Coturnix japonica: one gene and its partner. The protein of the gene in region 1 interacts with the protein of each later gene in a pairwise test. Links are inferred from orthologs where the notes say so. Each region holds a gene or a part of one and is shown on either strand. Other genes may lie near its edges.

What was found. The genes of interacting proteins can lie anywhere in the genome.
Region 2: the proteins of ASB13 (region 1) and NUDT3 interact in a two-hybrid assay, tested with the Homo sapiens proteins (2 studies listed by BioGRID and IntAct). The link is inferred for Coturnix japonica from reciprocal best matches to the Homo sapiens genes ASB13 and NUDT3.

Annotation. Positions count from the first base shown.
Region 1 is NC_029516.1:1,118,147-1,123,884, forward strand, and holds the start of ASB13 (ankyrin repeat and SOCS box protein 13), read left to right. Parts: upstream 1-2,196; 5' UTR 2,197-2,284; coding exon 2,285-2,327; intron 2,328-3,293; coding exon 3,294-3,481; intron 3,482-4,660; coding exon 4,661-4,811; intron 4,812-5,419; coding exon 5,420-5,554; intron 5,555-5,738. UniProt on the Homo sapiens protein: May be a substrate-recognition component of a SCF-like ECS (Elongin-Cullin-SOCS-box protein) E3 ubiquitin-protein ligase complex which mediates the ubiquitination and subsequent proteasomal degradation of target proteins.
Region 2 is NC_029541.1:4,237,528-4,242,634, reverse strand, and holds the start of NUDT3 (diphosphoinositol polyphosphate phosphohydrolase 1), read right to left. Parts: upstream 3,648-5,107; 5' UTR 3,326-3,647; coding exon 3,227-3,325; intron 1,376-3,226; exon of another isoform or gene 1,121-1,375; coding exon of another isoform or gene 1,091-1,120; intron 1-1,090. Other genes in the region: RPS10 (40S ribosomal protein S10), read right to left, coding at 4,612-4,653, 5,053-5,107. UniProt on the Homo sapiens protein: Cleaves a beta-phosphate from the diphosphate groups in PP-InsP5 (diphosphoinositol pentakisphosphate) and [PP]2-InsP4 (bisdiphosphoinositol tetrakisphosphate), suggesting that it may play a role in signal transduction.

The sequences.
Region 1 (5,738 bases):
CTTTTCCAACCTTAATGGTTCCATTTCTGCCAGTTTTTGGTGGGGGAAGAGTATAAGAACTGGAGCCTGTAGAGCTCAGGCACCATTTCTAACTGGAGTTTCTGTATCTCTATGGATCATATCACTATGGAGTGGTTCTTGGTGCCTTCTTGGGCAGGTAGGCACCTGTGGTCTCTGTAGGAGAAAAGCCTGTGGTCTATCTTTGATGTGGGCCCAGTTCCTGGCAATTCGCTATTTTAGCTTCTTTGAAAGAATGACTCATATAGTTTCTGGTGTATTTAAAAGTCTCAAATGAAGAAGTAGTCACCGCAGCACCCACTTCCACTTTTATTCAGACAAAAAAGATATATATGAATGATACATGCAGGCGCTGTTGGTCATTTCCTCCTCAGAAGAGACAGAAAATAGTTGCAATGAAATGAGTCAACAGGGAGATAGAAGCGGCAGTTCCTGGAAACGATAATGGCCCCCTGTGTAAAGATAACGAGGCAGAGATAAAGCAAATAGCTTTGTGATCGTTGTTGACTGTGTGGGGCAGCGTTAGGATTCCCAGCTGATGTGTAGCCTACAAACCCAGCCTGCAAACATGGGATGATCCCTTCTTCCTGCTGCATGTCAACTGGAGGACAGCAGAGGGCATTGAAATGCATGGAAACGCTGGGTTGTTCTTTTTCAAATGGATTTATTTCTTACGTATGGCCAAAAACTGTTCAAACAAACAAACTACCTCCCCCTCCAAAAGCCTCTATTAAAACTCCCGATTGTTTTATGGTGTTTTTATGATGGCAAAAAGACACACCATAAATCCTACAAGGTCCAAGGGGTGGGGGGAGATGCATCAAGTGGGACTGAAGGGATCCAGGGTTTGTTTTCAGCTTTTTGCTGACTTCTTTTGCTTTAATTTCCGCTGTTTTTAATCTATGTGTACATTTTACAGAAGGGCCATTGGCTCTAACACGGTGCATACGCAGGACCAGAAAAAAAAACCAGTGAGCTCATACCTTTACACAAGCCATTAAATCTGCCAACGGAGGGGCCTGAAACCCAGCTCTACACTCAGCGTTGCGTGGGTGACGTGCTGCTTCCAGGAGGTAATATAATCAATGACTTAATTAACAAAGAACTTGCTCTGGTCCTGATGATGAAGAGCAGCTCGCTCCATGCCAGACCCACTATGTGATACGCACCACGTCCCAGCTGCCCCACTTCTACCCACTCTCTATGCTTTTCCTGTCCCCTCCAAACTCCTTTTTGTTGCAAGAACTCCCCCAGACACATACAAACACACACCTCATCTATACCAGTACACACAGGACCCCCTCCCCATACCCCTCAGTATCTCCCCACACACAACAGTACCCCCAGTACCTCTCCCCACTTACACCACTCCCCACACCAGTGCCCCCAGTATCCCCTCTCCCCATATAACCAGTCCTCCCAGTCCCCCTTCTCTCCCCACACACCAGTGACCCCAGATCCCTCTCTCCCCACATCAACCCCTTCAGTGCCCCCTTCCCCACATACTGGTGATCCCAGTTCCCCTCTCCCCACACACCAGTCTCTCCAGTATCCCCATAACCAGTGACCCCAATCCTCTCCCCACACCAGCGACCCCAGTCCCCTCTTCCCACACACACCAGTGACCCCAGTCCCATCCCTCCCCACATCAATCATCTCAGTGCCTCCTTCCCCATATAACCAGTCCTCCCAGTCCCCTTCTCTCCCCACACCTGTGACCCCAGTCCCCCTCTCCCCCAACACACCAGCCCCTCTAGTACCCCCTCTTACCCCATAACCAGTGACCCCAATCCTCTCCCCACATACCATCCCCTCTAGTACCCCCTCTCACCCCAAACCAGTGACTCCAGTCCCCCTCTCCCCATACACCAGTACCCCCCCACAGACCAGTACCCCCCATACACCACTCTTCCCTACCCCCACACCAATACCTCCAGCACCCCCTCCTATCCCCACACATCACTACCCCTTACCCCTCCTATCCCCACATCAATACCACTTATACACCAGCGACCCCAATACCCCCCACCACCGACCCTACACACACCAGTCCTCCCAGCAACAACTCTCCCCCCACGTCACTACCCCCATATACCCCCATATACTCCACTATCCCCCTCACCCCATAAGTCAATGCCCCTTTTCCCCTCCCCCCCGCACTACGCCTCCCAGCGTCCCCTTGTGCGTTATGGGGCGGAGCGTGGGGCGGTTCTAGGGCGGATCGTTGAACACCGGATCGTCCCCGGCGTTTTTTTTTGGGGGGGCCATGGCGATCTCCGGGGTCAGCGCTTCGCTGCGGGGCGACATCAGTGCGTGGAGGGTCTTGGAAGCAGGGATGGGTTGTATGGAGGGGGGGAGAGGGGGGGTGAGTTGTGATTTGGGGTGGATTTGGAGTCAGGGAAGGGAGGGGAAGGATGGGGCCCTGGTTAACCGTCCTATGGGAGAGACTGTGTTGTTGGTAGGGCGGTAGGGCGAGAGGTGATGGCCTTAAGGTGTGCTGGGGGGGTCAGGTTGGGTATTAAAAGCAATTTATTCACTGAAAGAGAGATAAAGGGGTTGGAATAGGCTGCCTAGGGATGGGGGGGAGGTCACCATCCCTGGAGGTGTTAAGGGAATATGGAGATGTGGTTGGCATGATGGTTGGATTGGGTGGTCTTAGTGGTCCTTCCAACCCTAATGACTCTATGGGATGGCATCCAGAGAGACCCAGGCAGCTCAAACAGTGCACCCAGGAGAACCTAGTGAGGTTCAATAAATCCAAGTGCAAGGTTTTCCTAAGCCTCCCCAAGAGGGCTCAAAGAAACAGGCTCAGTATGCCAACAGGGAGAGATTTAGATGAGGATAAAAGGCTTATTACAGGAACAGTAGTGGAGCACTGGAATGAGTTGCCTAGAAAGGAGTTGGATGCTCCATCCATCCATCCATCTATCCATCCATCCATCTATCCATCCAAGGTCAGGCTGGATGGGGCTCTGTTTGTATGGTTTGTATGTGGCGGAAAACTTCAAGCAAATGCTGGAAGGAAATGCAGCATTACAAGCAGCCCAATGGAAAGCCCCCAGTGCAAAGCTGGACTGGGGATAGAGTAAGAAATAAGTTTCATTATTCCCATCTCTTTCTTGTTAAGGGTTGAGATATAATATTTAAGGTCCTTCCCAGCCTAAGTCAATCATATGTTTCTGTCAGCCTATGAGCCTGTGTTCCTATTTCAACAGAGCCTCTTTTTTCCAGCCCAGAATCTCATTTATTAAATATTTTTCTTTTTTCCTCTGCAGGCTTTTGGGTTGATCGAACCCCAGTTCATGAAGCAGCCAGGCAGGGAGAAATCCTTCAGCTACAACAGCTGATAGAGAGTGGAGCCTGCGTCAACGCCGTCACCTACGACTCCATCACCCCACTGCACGAGGCGAGCCTGCGCGGGCAAACACAGTGTGTCAAACTCCTGTTGGCTGCAGGGGCCCAGGTAAGTGCTCAGTTGTGATCCAACTGGAAACCAAGCCACTATGCTGTAGGTGCTGTACTTGATGATCCTTGTAGGTCTCTTCCAGTTGGGGTTATTCTGTGATTCTGTGGTCTGTGCTGTAGCTGTAGTGCTGTTACTATGCTCTCATCTTGCATTGAGATCAAGAGGAGCCCCAGGTACTGTTGTAGGATGATGTCCATAGAATCATTTGAGTTGGAAGGGACCCTTAAAGGTCATCCAGTCCAACTCCCTTGCAGTGAACAGGGCCACCTACAGCTCAATCAGGCTGCTCAGAGCCAGGTTTTATACTAACTTAGAAAAGCAATGTGCTCAAAGTCAGGCTGGATGGGGTTCTGAGCACCTCATTGAGCTGTAGGTGCCCCTGTTCATTGCAAGGAAGTTGGTCTATGTGGCCTTTAAGGGTTCCTTTCAACTCAAACGATTCTGTTATTCAATGATTATAAGGCTAAGAGTGGAACGGGGAACATGATTGGATTTACACTTACTCTTTAAGTTTCTTCTCTCCTTACTTCAATTTTATTACACAGAGAAGAATCTGCTGAGTCTTCAGTGGATTGTGACATCTCACACACTGAAGCTGGCTGTCCTCAGAGTGAACCTGGTGAAACTGATCACATGTGCACCCCGTATGTGTGTGCTGTGCTCCTCGTTGCGTATTCAGCCCATCACAAAGCTGAACTTTGCACTAACCACAGACAAGGAGCACATCGTGCTGTGCTGGCTCAGCTGCAGCGCTTGTAATGTTCAACAGGGAGAGCAATGGGGAAGCTTTAGGAGAGAGGGAACATCATGGCATGGCAGGAGGTTGGAGCTTGATGATCTTTAAGGACTCTTGAACTCACTGAAAGAGTAGCTAACAGCAGGACAAGGGGAAATGATTTTAAGTGGAATTAGGGGAGATTTAGGTTGGATATTGGGGGAAGCTTCGCAGAGAGAGTGGTGAAGTGCTGGAACAGCTGCCCAGAGGGGTTTTGGATGCTCCATCCATCCCTGGAGGTGTTCAAAGTCAGGTTGGATGGGGCCCTGGGCAGCCTGGGCTGGTATGAAATGTGGAGGTTGGTGGTCCTGCACATAGTAGGGGGGGTTTGAATCTGGATGATCATTGTGGTCCTTTTCAACCAAGGCCATTCTATGATTCTGATTTCTTCTTCCTTGGAGGTGGATGCCAGGAACATTGATGGCAGCACTCCACTCTGTGACGCCTGTGCCTCAGGGAGCATTGAGTGTGTGAAAGTGCTGCTGTCCCATGGTGCCAAAGTGAACCCTCCCCTGTACACAGCATCCCCTCTTCATGAAGCCTGCATGAACGGTAAGCTGGTGTGGTCTTATCCTCGCACGGTTATTTGCAGCTTGGAAAATGAACTCAGAATGCAAAGCACAGTTGGGAGAATAAAGCAGCTCCTTGTGTTGGGTGCTTTCATCCCACATGGCAGGCACAGGATCAGGTCTTAGGTAGATAAAATGCCATCTTCTCGAGAGGGGAAAACTGCAGAAGCCATTGTAAACTGTCAGCTCCTGCTTAATTTTCTCCTGTCGAGCTTTTTTCCAAAGGCTCTGTGCTGCTGAGTGCCGTAAGTCACACAGTAAAATTAAGGCTGTTGTGGTCTCGAAGGTGATCTCATCCACCCAGGGCTCATTCAGCCATGCAACCAACTCTGCAATCCACAGGCTGCTTAGTGCCAGCCCTTGGAATCACATTGGTTTGGCCATTAGCTCTAGCTTAATGCCATGCAGATGTAGCAGTTTCTTGTGCCCTATTCCCAGCCTCTGTCCTGAGGTATAGAATCTGGCTTTCAAGTGTTTCTATTTTACATCCATTGCCCCAAATATTAAACAAGCTGCTCCTGGCTGATCTCAGCGTGTACTCGTATTTTAAGCTGGATTCTTCCTTTTGACTCAGATCTTCCATTTCTAAAGGCAGCTCAGATTGTGTGCAACTCCTCATAGACGTCGGTGCCAACTTGGAGGCTCACGACTGCCATTTTGGGACACCCCTACACGTGGCCTGTGCCCGGGAGCATCTGGACTGTGTGAAGTTGCTGCTTAAGGCAGGTAGGGCAGCTGTGGGGTTTGTCTTGGGGTGATTGTGTGCAGCGTTTCCCTCTTGGTGCCCCACTGTGAGACTCTTGCCCAAGAGCTTATTCATTCCCAGCATGACAAAGATGGTAAAGGAGGAAAGTTTGGCATTTACTCGGGCAAACCTCCTTCCATTCTCCTTGGTTTTCAATAAAAATCA
Region 2 (5,107 bases), on another chromosome or scaffold:
GAAAAGTAGAGAAAACCCTGCATGTTTTTATGCCACTTCTTAGAATAATACCAATCAATCACCCTGTCCCACACTCCTCCCGAACACCACGGCTCACATTACCGTTACTACACATTTCTTGTAACTTTAGAGTGACTGCTGCTCCTCCAGAAGATGGACACGGCCACGAGCCTGTCCCTGCAGCAAGGCTGCGTTTCGGGTAACCACAAGAATTATCTGCAGGGCAGGAGGCAGCCGGAGGGCCCCAGCCTCAGCAGCAAAGGGCTGATAATAAGGCACTCCCAAAGACCCTAAACCCCGTTTGGTTTGCCTGGCAAAACCTGTGTGCTGACCATGCAGTGACCCTCGAGTTCCAGGGGAATAAAACCTGATTCAGCTTTTCAGATTCCCAACAGCTTATGGAGCTCCCAGCAAAGTGAAAATTTAACCACTGTCATCCCACTGTAGCTTGGGAAAGCACAAGAGACTGTGGAATTGCTTACACAGGCTTCCATTACAGAAGGGCAGAAAGCACTTCTTAGATAGAAGCCCAGTTTGGCAGAATACACTCTTGCTTTTGGAGAAAGCGAGTTACAAGCACAGCAGGGAGGGCAGAGGCACAAAGTCATTTCTGAACTGGGCCGTGGTAACGGGTTATGAGCAGGCAGGGAGAGCTTTGCTCGGTTTCAACCCCAAACCTTCTCTGTAGCTGAAGGGAATGGCAAGAGTTAAGCTGAGCCATTGGAACAAGGGCTGTGAGACTCTATTCCACCAGCAGCACCACGATCATATGATGCCGAGCTCCCTTTACTTGCAGGCAGCAAAGTGCTCCAAGTGGTTCCAGCTAATAATATTTTTATATTGAAGCCAACGCACAAAGGATGGCATAGAACACTGTGTGATCAGCAAGAGCCTACAGTTAACATTTGAAAACTGCTGCACTACATCACAGTTTTGTTCCCAAGTGACCCAGGAGGGGCAAGAAGAGGAAGGTTTGTTTGCATTCAAATTGCTTCCCCCAATTGAGGCCGTTGCGGGGGCTCCTTAACGTGGCTTTTGGTGACAGTGTTGGCCTGGCACACACACACAGCTCCAGAGCCAGAGTTCTTACCAGAGCTGTGTGAAAGTTCTGCTCTCCCATCTTAATTCAGCCTCCATTCACAGTTGGAAAAAAAGACGGCCAATCCTGGATGCTTTTCTTCCCCAAGCATTTCCTCCCAGCGTCTTTAAAGAACACCAGTTGTTAACGAGCGGTTTGTCCTTTCACCAGTTACAATGCAGGCGTGCTTAAACCTGTAGCTACACCAGCCCGGGACTTAAAGCCAAACAGTTGCTTTTAATTTCTGTTCAAATAGAACAGGGGTGCTGCCATTAAGCAGCCTTCCATCTGCTCTGTGATGCTGAGAGGTTACTGACACGTTCTGGAACCTTTCCTCATTGAAACAGCTGCCCTACACACACACACAAATACTTGTACTACTTCAAAATAACACCGTAATACTGAAACACACCGACAATGGCAATAAGGAATGACTTGGGAGGTAACGCAAGACTTGGGCTCTCTTCATCTCCGAGCTCTCCCACTGATCGTTTAAATGGTGAACAATCAGGAACTCCAAGGCAGCTCTTTTATCTCATAGTGGGAAGTGAAGGAGAACTGGGATAGAGAGCAGCTGCTGTTTCTTAAGCCCTCAAAAGAAACTGTAACCAGAAGCAGAAACAAACAATGCAATGTACAGCAGGCTCCTTTAGCACAGCTTGCTTTTGGCCTTCATTTTCCAACAGTAAACCTTCAATAGATCTTTACTAACAGATTTTGGCCCTATTCTTTTTCTCCCTGCCAGGAGAGACCCTTTAATGAAACCCTAAATCCCACTTCAATCAAAGTCATCAATCAATCAATCTTTGTTAACAACTTTCCTCAACCAATCTGTTGAACAACCCCACGTGGTTGGAACATCAGAGATGAGATGGCACAATGCAGCTCCAGCCCTGCATTAAACACACAGATATCATAAATAATCCGCTGTGTGAGGCCCTCAGAGCCCAATTCACAATCAAACACAACCATAATTCATTAACCTGCCCTTTCTGGGGCTCACAACGAGGCACCCACGTGTGCACGCTTGAGGAAATCAATCTGCATCCCACACTGCATCATTAACAAAGCAATTAGTGCATCTTGTGTCATGGACCAGCACAGCACACCTGATTTCTCTGGGGCCAAATGCTAAGAGGGACTGAAAGCAAAAGGAGCGTACAGCACTCAGCTGAGCACCCACACCAACCCAATACACACAGTTCTAACATGGCCCAACAGCTGGTTCTTAAGAACTGCCTCCCCAGCTGAAGGTGCATCAGGAAACCCTTCGACCACACAAGCTGATAAGCCCCAGCATCATTACACAATGTGATTACAGGCTCCTTCATAGCAAACTCAAAGGAGCATCAATGTCCTGAAAGGTGGGAAGGTGCAGCTGCAACAAGTCTCTGTCCTGTTTATTTCACATCATTTCCACTTGAGATGCTGACACTCCTCACCATGACAGCGCAGCTACAAAGGCTTTGCTCAGCCTCCAGCAGCACGTTAACTACTAACTGCACACTATGCTAATTGACTTTCCTCCAGCGAACTGTCTGCGTTCCCTTCTATTTCCTGTAGCTACAAATATGATAATCGGGAGAACAAAGCCTTCACAACAGCCGCTCAGGAGCCAGTCAATGAAGTGAGGTGCGGTGCAGGCTGCTTTGTGCCCACGTCAAAAGCAAATTAAAAAGAGAAAACGGCCCAAAAACAAAATCCACATCTGAGCAAAGTTCCTCTTTCCAACGTCAGGCCGATCCCAGCCCTTGGCAACGGGTCTCAGAGCACCCAATTCACCTTTAATTCCCACTTCCTCCCCAGCCGCTCTGCTGGGCAGCTCCTGGCACTCCATCAGTCCCCTTTTATCCCCGTTTCTTTTTATAAACCCAAGGTCAGGTTTCCTCTCCCATCTCATGTGATGCATTGGACTGAAGTTCTGCCAGCGTGGTTGCTCCAGAGCGCTGCCAAAGCTCCTCACCGGGCTGCTCCACCATCAGCCTCAGCGCGGGGGCATTAGATCGCGTTCAACAAAGAGAGAAACGGGGAAAAAAAGGAAAAAAAAGGGGAAAAATGGGGAAAAAAAGGGGGTTTATGGGAGCGGGGAGAGCCCCGAGTTTGGCAGCGTTGAACGGACGCCCCCACAGCGCCCGGCCCGGCCCTCACCTCCTCCTCGCTCTCGCTGCGGAAGCACAGACAGGCCGCCCGCTTCTTGTAGCCGTCCCCGTCGTAGGTGCGAGTCTGGTTGGACTTGAGCTTCATCATCCTCCGCTCCCGGGGGCGGCCCGAGGCGCGGCCGGGCCTATACAGGGCCCCTACACAGCGCCGGGAACGAGCCGCCGGGATCCCGCGAGGGGCGGGCGGGGAAGGACGGGGGGGACGGAAGGGGGGACCCGCCTCCCCGAGAGTCTGTTTGTCTGTCAGTCTCTGTTTCCCGCAGCCCGGAGCCGCCCGCTACACGCTGCCGCCTTTCGCCCGCCTCATCCCTCCCTTCGTTTCCAGCCGCTCCGCCGCCGCTGCCGGCGCTCCGGACACCGCCGACGACGACCGCGACGCCATCTTGGGCACGCTACGCAAACGGCGTAAAACGGCGGGCGGGGGAGGGGGCGGTTGCTCCCTGCAGCTGCGCGGCGCGCCCGCCACGCAAACGGCGCAGTCCGGCTTCCAGAATCGCTCCCCCCTCCCCGCGGCACACACAGACGCCGCTACCACGCCTCCGCCCGACGCCGGCCCTGCGCAAAGCCTTCGAGAATACGGCGGCTGCGTGCCGGGGCGCCCTGACAGCTACGCAAAGTGCGGAGAGGCAGCGCACATGGCTCCGCTCTGACAGCGGCTCTACGCAAAGCGCGCAGACGCCACGCAGGGAAGAACGCGTAACTTACGCAAGGACGGCTTACGCCAGTGGCGGAGCGCGGCTGGGGGCAGCGAACAAAGGGGCGGGACGGGGGGATGGGGCACAATGGGACCCAATGGGGCACAATGGGACCCAATGGGGCCTAATGGGGCACAATGGGGCGCACTGGGTTCGGCCGGCCCCGCTGTGGCTGTATCAGGGTTGGGGGGGTAAAGCAGCCCTACAGCCTGTGGGGTCACAGCCAGGATGGGTTGTGACCTGCTTTGCAGCTGCCCTGCTCAGACACACGGATAAACCCTACAGCAGAGCAGCCCTGTGGGACTCAGCTCAGTCGCAGTCAGGTTCCAACGCCCTCAGGTATATGAAGAACCCAATTACACGCCTGCTGTTTGCTCCATCCCTATATGAGGGCTGTAAGCAGCCCCTTCTCGCTGCGTTCTGTGTTCCTGCCTATACAGCAGCACCATCCGGCCCCATTAGCGCCGTGCCATGGCTGTGCTGTGGGTGACACCTGGTGGCACGATGCAGATCGCAGCCCTCCCCTTGCTCAGCTCCAGATGCCGTCACCATCCTCTCTCACCATCCTCCTTCATTTCTTAATTAACCCACTGAATTCAGACACTCCAATAGAACACAGCCATGCAGCCCAAGTGGCATTTTCACCTATTTTATCATACACAAAACATGAGCGGGAGGTTTACTGAGGAGGCTGACCACGTCCACGACCAAATCCACCTCTCTGCAAGAGAAAAAGAAGAGCATTACAAGTCACCACATTGAACAAGCAACAGCAAATAAGTGCTAAAAGCACTGACAGAAGAGCCAAGTATCTGCCCGCAGCACTGCATTACTTTGATACGCATCCCCTGCTCCAAGCACAGCTTAACTCTGATCTGAGACCAAACTGAACCCATCCCGGTCAGCTCTATCACAGCTCAAACTCTCTGTTTCTGTAGTATAAAATAATACATTTCCCCTAGAAAGCTCAGTGACTTTTTGTCACAGCAGTAAGGCTTTCAGTTTATTCAATAAGAGTGCAGGAAGTCCTGCTAAGCACCATACCCACACACACAGATACATGCATTGTCTCTAACTCAGAGCACAAATAAATGAAGCCTATCTCAATACAAATACTTACAAACTGGAATTCAGTGGCTGCTCCAGCACCGGCCTCAGCCTTCTTGTCAGCACCA